2 linked regions of the Drosophila melanogaster genome follow. The protein of the gene in region 1 interacts with the protein of each later gene in a pairwise test. Each region holds a gene or a part of one and is shown on either strand. Other genes may lie near its edges. The genes, in order: Orc5 and CG8841.

Evidence for each region.
Region 2: the proteins of Orc5 (region 1) and CG8841 interact in a two-hybrid assay, tested with the Drosophila melanogaster proteins (one large-scale study listed by BioGRID).

The regions. Positions count from the first base shown.
Region 1 is NT_033779.5:13,827,909-13,832,333, reverse strand, and holds Orc5 (origin recognition complex subunit 5), read right to left. Parts: upstream 2,498-4,425; 5' UTR 2,298-2,497; coding exon 1,200-2,297; intron 1,147-1,199; coding exon 862-1,146; 3' UTR 846-861; downstream 1-845. Other genes in the region: PolG2 (DNA polymerase gamma subunit 2), read left to right, coding at 1-396, 451-845; Arpc1 (Actin-related protein 2/3 complex, subunit 1), read left to right, coding at 2,916-2,988, 3,058-4,118. UniProt on the Drosophila melanogaster protein: Component of the origin recognition complex (ORC) that binds origins of replication. DNA-binding is ATP-dependent, however specific DNA sequences that define origins of replication have not been identified so far.
Region 2 is NT_033778.4:12,321,941-12,328,358, forward strand, and holds CG8841 (uncharacterized protein), read right to left. Parts: upstream 4,319-6,418; 5' UTR 4,206-4,318; intron 4,176-4,205; exon of another isoform or gene 4,054-4,175; 5' UTR 3,961-4,053; coding exon 2,718-3,960; intron 2,648-2,717; coding exon 1,377-2,647; 3' UTR 567-1,376; downstream 1-566. Other genes in the region: mIF3 (mitochondrial translation initiation factor 3), read left to right, coding at 1-162; garz (gartenzwerg), read left to right, coding at 4,734-4,835, 4,899-5,097, 5,153-6,138, 6,200-6,418.

The sequences.
Region 1 (4,425 bases):
AAAGCACTTGTTCTGGTCCCACTAGCAATTCCCTATTTGGGATAAAGGGTCCTACGCTACATTTAACCACGGACTTCCTAGTGGAACCACATCGCGCACTGGAGCACTTCTACAACATGCAGCGTGAGAGCAAGATCTGGTGGATGCGTCTTTCCTCGAATCCCAGTCGCTACCGCATCGTACCTTGCGATTTGGCTGAGGATCTCAATCCCAACGACTATCAAGCCATCGATATCCGCACGAGCTACGGTGATGCAGGAGAAGTGACCGTGGAGCAACTGAGCCTGGTGAGAATAGTGGACGACAAAGACTTCCGGCTGCCCGATGCGCGAACGGGTGAAATTGTGCAACCGACTGTCATAAGGTCTGTGATAGAGCTGGAAACTACCACCTGCGGTAAGTGGTCATCATAACTATCTTTGAAAATCTTTCTATATTATTATCCTTTAGCTCTGCTTCTGGATGGCTGTGATCATGGCCGGGACTCGCAATCCCTGCTCTTACACCGCGTTCTGGCGCCATATCAATGTGGAATTGCCTGTGTGGAAAGTGATTCCGAGCTATCTGCTGACTTGTCTGATCTTTGTCAGCATCTGAAACATGTTCTCAACCACGCCGGTCTTAGACTTTCTGAAGGGGATGGAATTCGTACGACGAAGAACGCTTCTCATTTAGCAGAGCACTTGCTGGAAACGGATATGCTCGGCATACCTTATACACTTGTTATAAACGAGCAAACGCTAAGAAACGGACTGATGCAGTTGCGCAGCCGGGACACAAGGCTGGCGGAGACCATACACATAAGCGATGTACCGGACTATTTATTAAATATATTTAAAAACTAAAAAAAACAACCAGGGGCTACATAAAGTCGCAGAGATATTGGCGGACATTAAAGCCCACCACCTTGCCAATCTGCAGGACAAACTCCAAGCCAATGGTGCACTGCAGCCTAGCGGAACCTTCCATTATGTTTTGTTCGCCGGAGACGAAGCTTAGTAGATTGAGGTGCACCAAAGTTGAGATCTGGGAGAGAAGGTTGCAGGTCAGACCGACTTTCTCCTCTAGAATGGCGTAGAAAATGGCCAGCAAACGATCGATGCTAAAGGATTTGGGTCCCAAAGTGGTGGACATTTTCTCCGTGGTCTAAAAGGTATTAAAATAAGCAAATGGAGTCATCGAAAAATTGAATAACCCACCTTGGCTCTGGCGTTGACCGTCTGCATCCGCTTTCGCTGTTTTCCATGGTGCTTGACGAACAATCGCTTGTCCTGCTTGGCGGCATTGTGGCTGGCTAAGAAGGCAGCGATCAACAGAAATTTGGCATAGTAGGGCAGCTCCAGCGACTGCGCCAGCTTGCGAACGCTCTGATCTTCTATGGCGGTGAAATCTTCAACTTCTTCCGCGGGTTTTTCAATTCGCATATAAATCTGGGTTAAGGCGGAACGCAGTGGTCCAGCTATATGCCGCCAAAGCCGGGAGATGTCCGTGGCATCCACAGTGCCGTCGAGTACAGGCTCCAAGTATGTGGACAGACACTTCCTGGCGGTCAGCTGGAGCTCTGGAACATCGCGACAGGCTTTGTAAAAGACGCTCAGAAAGAGATTCAGATAGTTGTTGTAGAAGTCTTCAGTTACGGCTTCCTGGCAAATCTCCAGACGCTTCTTATCCTGGGCGAACTGTTCCAGCAGTTGATTTCGCACCTGCTGAAAGTCAGATCCCAGGATGCGCTGTGTCTCCGCCTTGTTGTACTGCGCCAAGTGCAGGCAGACGATTTCACTAAGTCCGGTCTTGTTGTAGAACTTCTCAAAGGGCAGCTGGGAGAGCAGAATAACGCACAGATTCAGGTTGGTCAGCTCCTGCAGTCGGAGAAGAACGGGCAACACATTGGCATCCATGTCGCGCAGCCTTTCCGCGTTATCCACGGCTATGAGAAATCCCTGATCCTCCACGCGTGTAGCGGCCTGCCGACGCAGCTGCTCCACAAAGTCCAGCATGTTGTCGACCTTCAGCGCATCACCTTGATCGGGTGCCAGCGAGTCTAACAGGATCTCCAGCATTATCTTGGTGGTGTAGCATTCGATGGCATTTAAATGCGCTGTGCGGACATTTTGCCGTTTTCCACATTCTTTGAGGAAAGCTCTGGTCAGAGCTGTTTTGCCGGTTCCACTGTGTCCGAATAGGTAAATTGCCGAGGGATATGTCTCACTCGAATCTCCTATCAGCTCGCCCAGCGTTTCAATGGCCGCCTCCCGACAGGGAAACAGCGGCTCCAAGGAGGAGCAGATGGCTTCCATAGCTGTCGTCTGCTTTTAAGTTTCCTCAGCTACCCACAGGCGAAGTGGTGTTATTTAAACGGGCTTTCAAAAGGGAAAATACTTCCTCGGTTTATAAAATAACAAAAATAAATTACGAGCCAGCCAGTTATTAAAAATTTGTTTACAAGAAATGGTTTCTGTTTAGTGTGACCATTGAAATGGCGCCAAATTATTCCCTCTGGTATATACCGAACGTGCGTAACAGCACTGGTACCTTAGCATTTTTCAAACAATCGAAAAATATCGATATAACGAAATAACGATAGTATTGAGGGCCATCGATTTTTGTTCCAGCTCTAATTTCGGGTGATTAATTTTGTGCATTACTTTTCCAAAGAGTTTTTTCCACAACGCTCTACTCTTCCGGCCCAGGCAAAGCCAGAATCCATCCCAGCAACGCCAGCTTAATCGTGTTGACGGCCCAGAGTCCGCGATTAAAACGAGAGCGAAGCTAAAATCCAGCGGAAACAACGCCCAATTGCTACACAGCGATATCCAAAATCCGAAAATCCGGCGAACCGAACCGAAGAAACTACGCGTGTGGTTGGATTTGGACGAGCGAACACTGCACATTCCGAGCGCATTTAGCCACCCACGATGGCCGAGACATACACCTTTGGCACCTCGCTGGCCTCCATCACCTGCCACGCATGGAACAAGGATCGAACCCGTAAGTGCGACCCAAATTACTCATCCGGCACAGTGTGACTCACCACCACCCACTCCCAAAAATTCGCAGAGATTGCCTTATCGCCCAACAACCATGAGATCCACATATACAGCCGGGAGGGCAGCGACTGGAAGCTGGCGGACGTGCTCAACCAGCACGATCTGCGCGTCATGGGCATCGACTGGGCCAAGAACACCAATCGGATTGTGAGCTGTGCCGCCGACCGTAATGCCTATGTGTGGACGCAGGGCGACGATGGCAAGTGGAAGCCGGCGTTGGTGCTGCTGCGCATCAATCGGGCGGCAACCTGCGTCAAGTGGTCGCCGGCGGAGAACAAGTTCGCTGTGGGTTCGGGCGCCCGACTCATATCCGTGTGCTATTTCGAGTCGGAGAACGACTGGTGGGTGTCGAAGCACATCAAGAAGCCGATCCGCTCTACGGTCACTTCGCTGGACTGGCATCCGAACAACGTTCTGCTGCTGGCCGGCTCCACGGACTACAAGGTGCGCGTTTTCTCGGCCTTCATCAAGGACATCGAGGAGCCACCGACGCCGACGCCGTGGGGCAATCGCAAGCCCCTTGGCCAGCTAATGGCCGAGTTCCGCAACTCGCAGACCTCGGGTGGCGGCTGGATTAACAGCGTGAGCTTCTCCAGCGACGGTAACAAGGTCTGCTGGGTGGGCCACGACAGCTGCGTGAGCATCGCGGACGCTACCAATGGCAATACGGTCATTCGATGCCGCACCGGCTATCTGCCCTTCCTGTCATGCGAATGGGTCTCGCCCACGTCCGTCGTGGTGGCCGGCTATAGCTGTGTGCCACTGCTCTACAGTCTGACTGCCGATGGAAAGCTGGTGCTGAGCGGCAAGCTCGATAAGTCGCAGAAGAAGGAGTCGAGCGGCATTACCGCCATGAGAATCTTTCAGTCGATGGACCGCAACATGCGCACGGAGAACACGGACACGGTGGTCGATTCCATACATCAGAACGCCATCACCAGCGTGCGACTGTATGCCGGCGACAAGGCGAGCGCCACCAAGGTGTCCACCTCGGGCGTCGACGGGCAGCTGGTCATTTGGAATGTGGAGCAGGGCGGCATCAATGGCGGCATGCGCAACCTGCAGATCTAGTGCGGCCCGGAACGGACCAGCGTTACGTGTTATTGTCTGTTAGCGAGTGTGTTGGCCTGGCCAGGAGCGAAGTATTTGCCAAAATGTTTTCCAAAATCGCTTTTCCCATTGTTCTGTACCGTGCGAAAGCCTTTTTACATAAATTAACCGAAGAGATTGTTCTTTCCCCCCCCCCCCCCCCACCAACTTCCATAATGGTTCCGAAAGTGTGTGTGTGTTTTAAAGTGTTTCACCTTTATAGCAAACTGAATAAAATGTTTTTTATTCGTAAAATCAAATGTTAAGTGTTTGTTTTTTAATAATTAAT
Region 2 (6,418 bases), on another chromosome or scaffold:
CGCATAGTAAAGGCCATCGAACAGACCATTAAGGAACCACAACTAATTGGCAGAATAGTGCAAAGGCGCAGCAAGAGCGCGTTTATCAAATTCTCGATTATTCCAGTAGCTCCGCCACCAGTGCCCGCATCCACTGCCACTTCCAATACAATCCAGTCGTGACAACTACCGCTGCTGCCTTCGGTGCTCATGGATCGGCCCAATGTTGCGGCAAGCAAACAAAACTTCGGCCTTAGAATATCCACCCGCCATTTCTCGGAGCGGGTGGAAGAGGAAGGCGAAAAGCCCGTAGAGATCACAACCGCATCCATTGTCACCACTTCGGTGCTGCTTCTATTGTTTTTCTTCAAATACTTCTACTGGCATCAGCATTTGGTCAAACTATTGGAGGATCGAGAGCAAGCAGAACGACTGAAGAAGCGTAAAAGAAAGGATGAAGTCCTTTCTCTCCACCGTGAACGCAACCTACAAGAATGTAAAATCGATTGATATGAAACTGCTTTTTAGTAACTGTCATTTGGCTCTATATTTGGCCATTCTTATAAATTAAAATACAAGATTCAATTCGTTTTATGAAATTTATTTATTATTTATTACTTATCTTGGGTTCTGCTCTATATTTCGTAAATGATTTATATAAACTGACTTGTATAGGTGTCATAAGTTTAGTTTGTGTATATAGTTTATAAGCACACGTAGACAGTAAATTAATACACTTTCTCAATTCTATCATTAATGTCTATATTTAATTAAGTTTACAAAGCAGTTCATTGGACTCAACTAAAGTTTCCTAATCATTACAAGAGAACGTAAAGCTTTTTATGGTGTCAATAGGTGCAGTTACAAATTTGTTTGGATAAAGCGAATCGTTTGTAGAGTGGCTGAGTGAAAGTAATTTATTCTTGGTATTTGCACCTTAAATACATACATAAGTAAAAACAGGAAATTTTTAAATTATTAAAATATAAAATAAATAAAACCATGCAATAAAATATACGGCACAAGGAACATTTTCTGTCACAGATTACAAAAACATGAGTTGTTTAATAATTTAGTCATTAACTAAAATAAAAACACTTTGTGCTTATACTGTTTTTTAGAACACTCTTCAAAACAAATTAGGAAAGCAATTAAATATCAATGCTAAAAGCCGATAACAAATCTGTTGAATGGATCTCAATGCCACATCGTAACTGATAAGCCTCATTTTTTTTGTTGCCAATAAGCAAAATTGTGGGAAAGGTAGTTCATTACACACTGATTCTTCACAAAAACATTTGGAATGAAATATGTACTAAATAAATTAACTACAGTAAATGCCAAAGCGTGTAAGCTACGATTGCGCTGCTGGTGTAGCTGGGAGTCCACTTACTGACCTAGACGCGCTGAATCTCGAAGAGCTTGACCTCCGTATCGTACCAGATGGCAGGCTCCACGTTGCGCAGGTAGATGACACCCCAGATGTAGGTGCGGAACCATGCCGTTGTGCCCGCATTGGCCTGGTACTTTCGGATGAGAATGGGATGCGGCACTGGGAGCAGTCCCACTAACGTTCCGTGTTGCAGAAACTTGAGGATCTCCGACTCGTCGGTCAGTCCTTTGTCAATGCAGATCTTCTCCACCTGGGGCACTAGGACCTGAAGCAGTCGCATGATGGTCTGCAGCGGCAGCTTGGAGCGCCAGGAGACGATCCACTCGGGCGTGGGCGTCCAACGATCGCTCTCGCCAGGCACCATGCGAATGCTGGCCCTGTGGGCCACCGACAAGCGGGACAATTCCGTGGGTGAGGTGGACTTGCGTTCGTCAGTTGGCGTCGAAGCGGCTGATCTGTCGTAGGGCACAATGTCTGTAGAATCCTCCACCTGAGGCTTGTCATTTGGATGCGCCTGCTCCCGCTCCGTCATCTGAGTAATGCCCGGGGTGTCCAACAAGGACGTTTTCAGTGTTCCTGGCTCGGCTGGCTGCGCCGTGAGAACGTCCGACTGCAGCTCCCCCGCCTGAGATCGCTCATGAGACTCTGTCTCCGATTCGAGATCCTCTTCCGCCTTGGGCTCTTCATTAATTATCTCCTCCTCGTCCTCATCCTCGTCTTCTTCGTTGTACTCTTCTGGCACGTGGGCCGAGGGCAGTTCCTGGGACACAGCTGGCGTTCTTCGCTGTGGTACCCGCGGCAAGTTAAACTTTCCACCTGTTTTACGGCCACTCAGGCACTTGGCTATGCCAGCCATATCGGTCGGGAGATTTGCCATGGCATGGAACACATGACGCTTTCGAATTATGGTGTAGACTAGATTCGAGTTGCCATCGAACTGATACTGTATAATGTTATTGAAGATCTCCAGCAGGAAAAACACCAAATGATGATTGCTGGGTGCCGATAGCAGAAACCAGGGTGTGCTAAAAGCCTCCAGGAGATGCAACATCTTTACACTAGCCACCATCGAGAGGGTTTTCAGATATGGTGAGACATTTACCAGAATGGTCAGCAGACAATCGAAAAGCGGCTGCAGCCTCTGGTGGCCAGTGGCTATTATTTTGTGGAACACAGTGATGAGTAAGTCCGCATGGGTTCCAGTAAACACAGGTATATCCATGGGCACCGTGGCGGAGTATGCTTTGTTAAGCCGAACCCCAAAGTTTCGCTCACCTATCAATAAACATTTATTTAAGTGTAAGTGCACTGATTCCACGAACAAAACATATGACATATGACTCACCCGATAGGAGCAACAGTATGAATACTCCAATATGCATCAAGCCCACTCGAGATTGATCCGCTCGGGAGTAGTTTAGGTGATACAGAATGGGAATCAGGATGTCCAGAACATCGGAGCTCTTTAGCACAAAATACAGAAACTTTTTGTTGTAGTCGCATATTTTCCAAAACAAAATAAGCAGCTCCTGGTGGCAATGAAGTCGCTTTGTGGAATTGGGCAAATAGTTCTGGACCAGTGGGTTGTTCAGCAGCCTGGTTATGCCCTTGAGCACAAAGTGAAAGTCCTCGTCGCGGTGAACCCTCGAAAGATAGTTAATGAACAAGTTGTCGCCGCAATTGCCCTCGTCGTAGGACGCCTGTCCGGGTTGTGTGAGTTGCTGCTGCACCACCATATCGTGATCCAAGGTGACAATGAGCAGTTGAAGGCACGCTTCCACCAGGGGCTCTGTGGTGTCTGCAAACAGCAGGTGATTGTAGGGCACGCCGAAGCCCACCGGATCGTAGGAGCACACGGTGTTCAGAAACGAGGTGAACAGCGGCAGGGCATGGCGATTGTCGGCCGAGGTGAAATATGCTATCCACTTGTTGGGCTCCTCGGACTGCTGCGGCGATCGGTACATGGGCTCCGAGAAGCAGGTGAGTAATAGCTTCAGCAACTCCGTGCGCCTGCGCTCCATGTGGGCGTTGTGGGGCGGTGACTGGGCGAAACCCACGCCCGCTTCCCAAATGTACTCGCAGCTATCGATGTTCGCCAACTCCTCGGCCTTCTCGGGGCCCGCACGCCGCGTGGCCGTAACCGTGAAGTCGGGACAGAAAAGAAGGTCGCAGGTGGCATTGAGCAGTGACTGAGCCAACGGCATGGTCTTGTCCTGCGATGGCAGGCTGCTCCAGAAGAAGTCGCGCCACTTTTCGTCCTCGAAAATGTACGGCAGACACCGGACGAGCAGCCGCACGCAGTTCAAAACGCACTGCTGCTCCGCCTGCGTGCGACAACTGCTGTCTACCGCCTGGGCAAGCTTTTCCACCGCCTTGTAGCATAAGGTGGCCAGGTTGGCTGGATTCTCGTTCCGTATCTGGCGAATCTCGCTCGAGGTGACCAGCGCGAACACATCCTCCAGCGTCGTCTGGTGGCCCTGCCAGAACTGCTCCCAGAACTGCTCGTCGCTGGGGTCGATCTTCTGGTTCTTCTGCGTCAGCTGCACAATCGCCTTGCGAAAGTTCAACTTGGAGTCCGTGTTTCCCATATTGTTCGGCCTGTGGGCTGCTTTGGTATCGCTGAGTCCTGTAAATCCACCTGCCCCGTGCTCGATCGCCTCAGTGCAAGTGTGCGCAGTAGTCTGGAACAGGAATGCTTTGCATTTAATGCGATTCTTTTTCAAAAATCGAACGATTCCAATTAGAAATTCGCCTACGCACCAAATGCCAGTGTAACTTAGTGGTGGGTGTAACGCTCACGACTGAAGATGCGTGCGTGACTGATTATGCTCACCTGTTTTGGCCCTCATATTCAAATATCAATTTGATTAAATCAATTTGATCGACAGCTTGGCAACATATTTTATTTTAAAAACAAGGTTATATTTTTTTTATATACGCTTGCAGCTGTATTTCAATTTAATCTATTGAAATTTCCGCATCGAGTTGGCATCTACAGCTGTGCCAGTGCTGCGAAGCGACGAACTGCCGCGCCGGTGTTGGAAGACGCTTGTGCAAAATATTCGGACTGCACACAAGAACATAAACGACACGTAAACGTCACCAAAAATTAGCAGCTTACCAGTTCGATTAGTTAGGATTAGTGAGAGATGCCCAACTAGGCAGCACGCCCAGATTCGTCCAGGCAGCGTGAGTGTGCGAGTGGGCAAGTGGCGAGTGCCAAAACATATGCGAAGGTCGTCGGGAAGGGAGGAGGAGCTGCCCTGCCCCACGAAAACTGCAATTTTCAGCGCTAGCCCTGGAACTGGAAGCCAACTAGCTGCAGTCGTAGAGACACCGCAACGGAGGACACGCGGACACCATGGCGCTTCCAGGCAACGGCATCTACGTGGTGCGGGGCGAAATGGCCACCCTGATGACGGCGATGCGACGTGGAACGCGTTGGAATGCCACCGCCTACGTGGTAAATAGTGCCCCTAATGCTCACTGCGAATAGAAAGTATATGGCCCTTTTGCACATCCACAGGACGACGAGAATGACTCGCTGCTGAAGCTGTTCATTGACCTCAAGCATGAGCTAAATCGGATCGAGGACCTGCGTCAGATCGAGCCTCAGGTCTTCCTGGCTCCGTTTCTTGAGGTGATTCGCACGGCGGACGCCACGGGTCCGTTGACTAGTCTAGCCTTGGCCTCGGTTAACAAATTATTGTCTTACGGGCTAATAGGTATTATGATTTAGTGCTTACCCTCTGCATTTGCTCATTCTGTACCTATCCACAGATCCCACGTCTCCAAATCTGGCTGACATTGTGGAGCGCATTGCCGATGCTGTGACACATGCCCGCTTTATGGGCACCGATCAGTCCTCGGATGGTGTCACCTTTATGCGAGTGATTGAGGTGCTGCACACGCTTATCCGCAGTCCCGAAGGAGCCGCCGTCAGCAATGTGTCCATGTGCGAGGTGATGCTCAGCTGCTTCAAGATCTCCTTCGAGCCGAGGCTGAGTGAACTGCTTCGTCGCTCGGCGGAAAAATCGCTCAAGGACATGGTGCTGCTCTTCTTCATGCGCCTTCCCCAGTTCGCCGAAGAGCGAAGTGACACCATGCTCCAGAAGCGATTTACTATCGGCGATGCTGCCAGCGGAGCTACCCAAGAAAAACTAAAGCGTAAGACGGTTGCCCAAGCCCAGACAGCACCCAGGAAATCGTCAGCAGTGGAGGAACCGCCTCAAACACCGCAGTCTGCCAACCTGACGGTGCCAGGGCACTTGAAGGCACCCATATTGGCCACCACACCCGCCAGTCCAGCGGGAAACATATTGGACATGCAGGGCAAGATTACGCAGACACCAACAACAACGGCGAGCACGGGGGAAGATGAAACCACTGTCCCGGAGACTCCTGTTATTCAAGTGGAGTCGACTGAATCGGAGCCCTTGCTGGACGGCGAAACGGGTGAAGCAACCAGCACCCTGGCCGAGGCAAATAGTAGCGAGTACATCAACTCGGTGGGCGTCCGTTTTACACAGCAGTCCACCGATCACGATGTAACATCACTATCCCCTTATGGCCTGCCCTTCATCCAGGAGTTGTTCCGATTCCTCATAATCCTCTGCAATCCTCTGGATAAGCAGAACTCGGATAGCATGATGCACACGGGTCTTAGTCTACTTACTGTAGCTTTTGAAGTCGCAGCCGATAATATTGGAAAGTATGAGGGCTTGCTGGAGCTGGTTAAGGACGACTTATGCAGAAACTTAATATCGGTAAGGGACTCTTAATTGCTTCGTTAGTTATTTCTGACCTAACTCTTTCCTTTCCCTACAGCTTCTCAGCTCAGAGCGGCTTAGCATCTTTGCCGCCGATTTGCAGCTCTGTTTTTTGCTTTTCGAGTCTCTCCGCGGACATCTCAAGTTTCAGCTGGAAGCCTACCTTAGAAAATTGAGCGAGATTATTGCTAGCGATAATCCCAAGACGCCCTACGAAATGCGAGAACTCGCTCTGGACAATCTACTGCAGTTGTGGCGCATTCCCGGCTTCGTCACG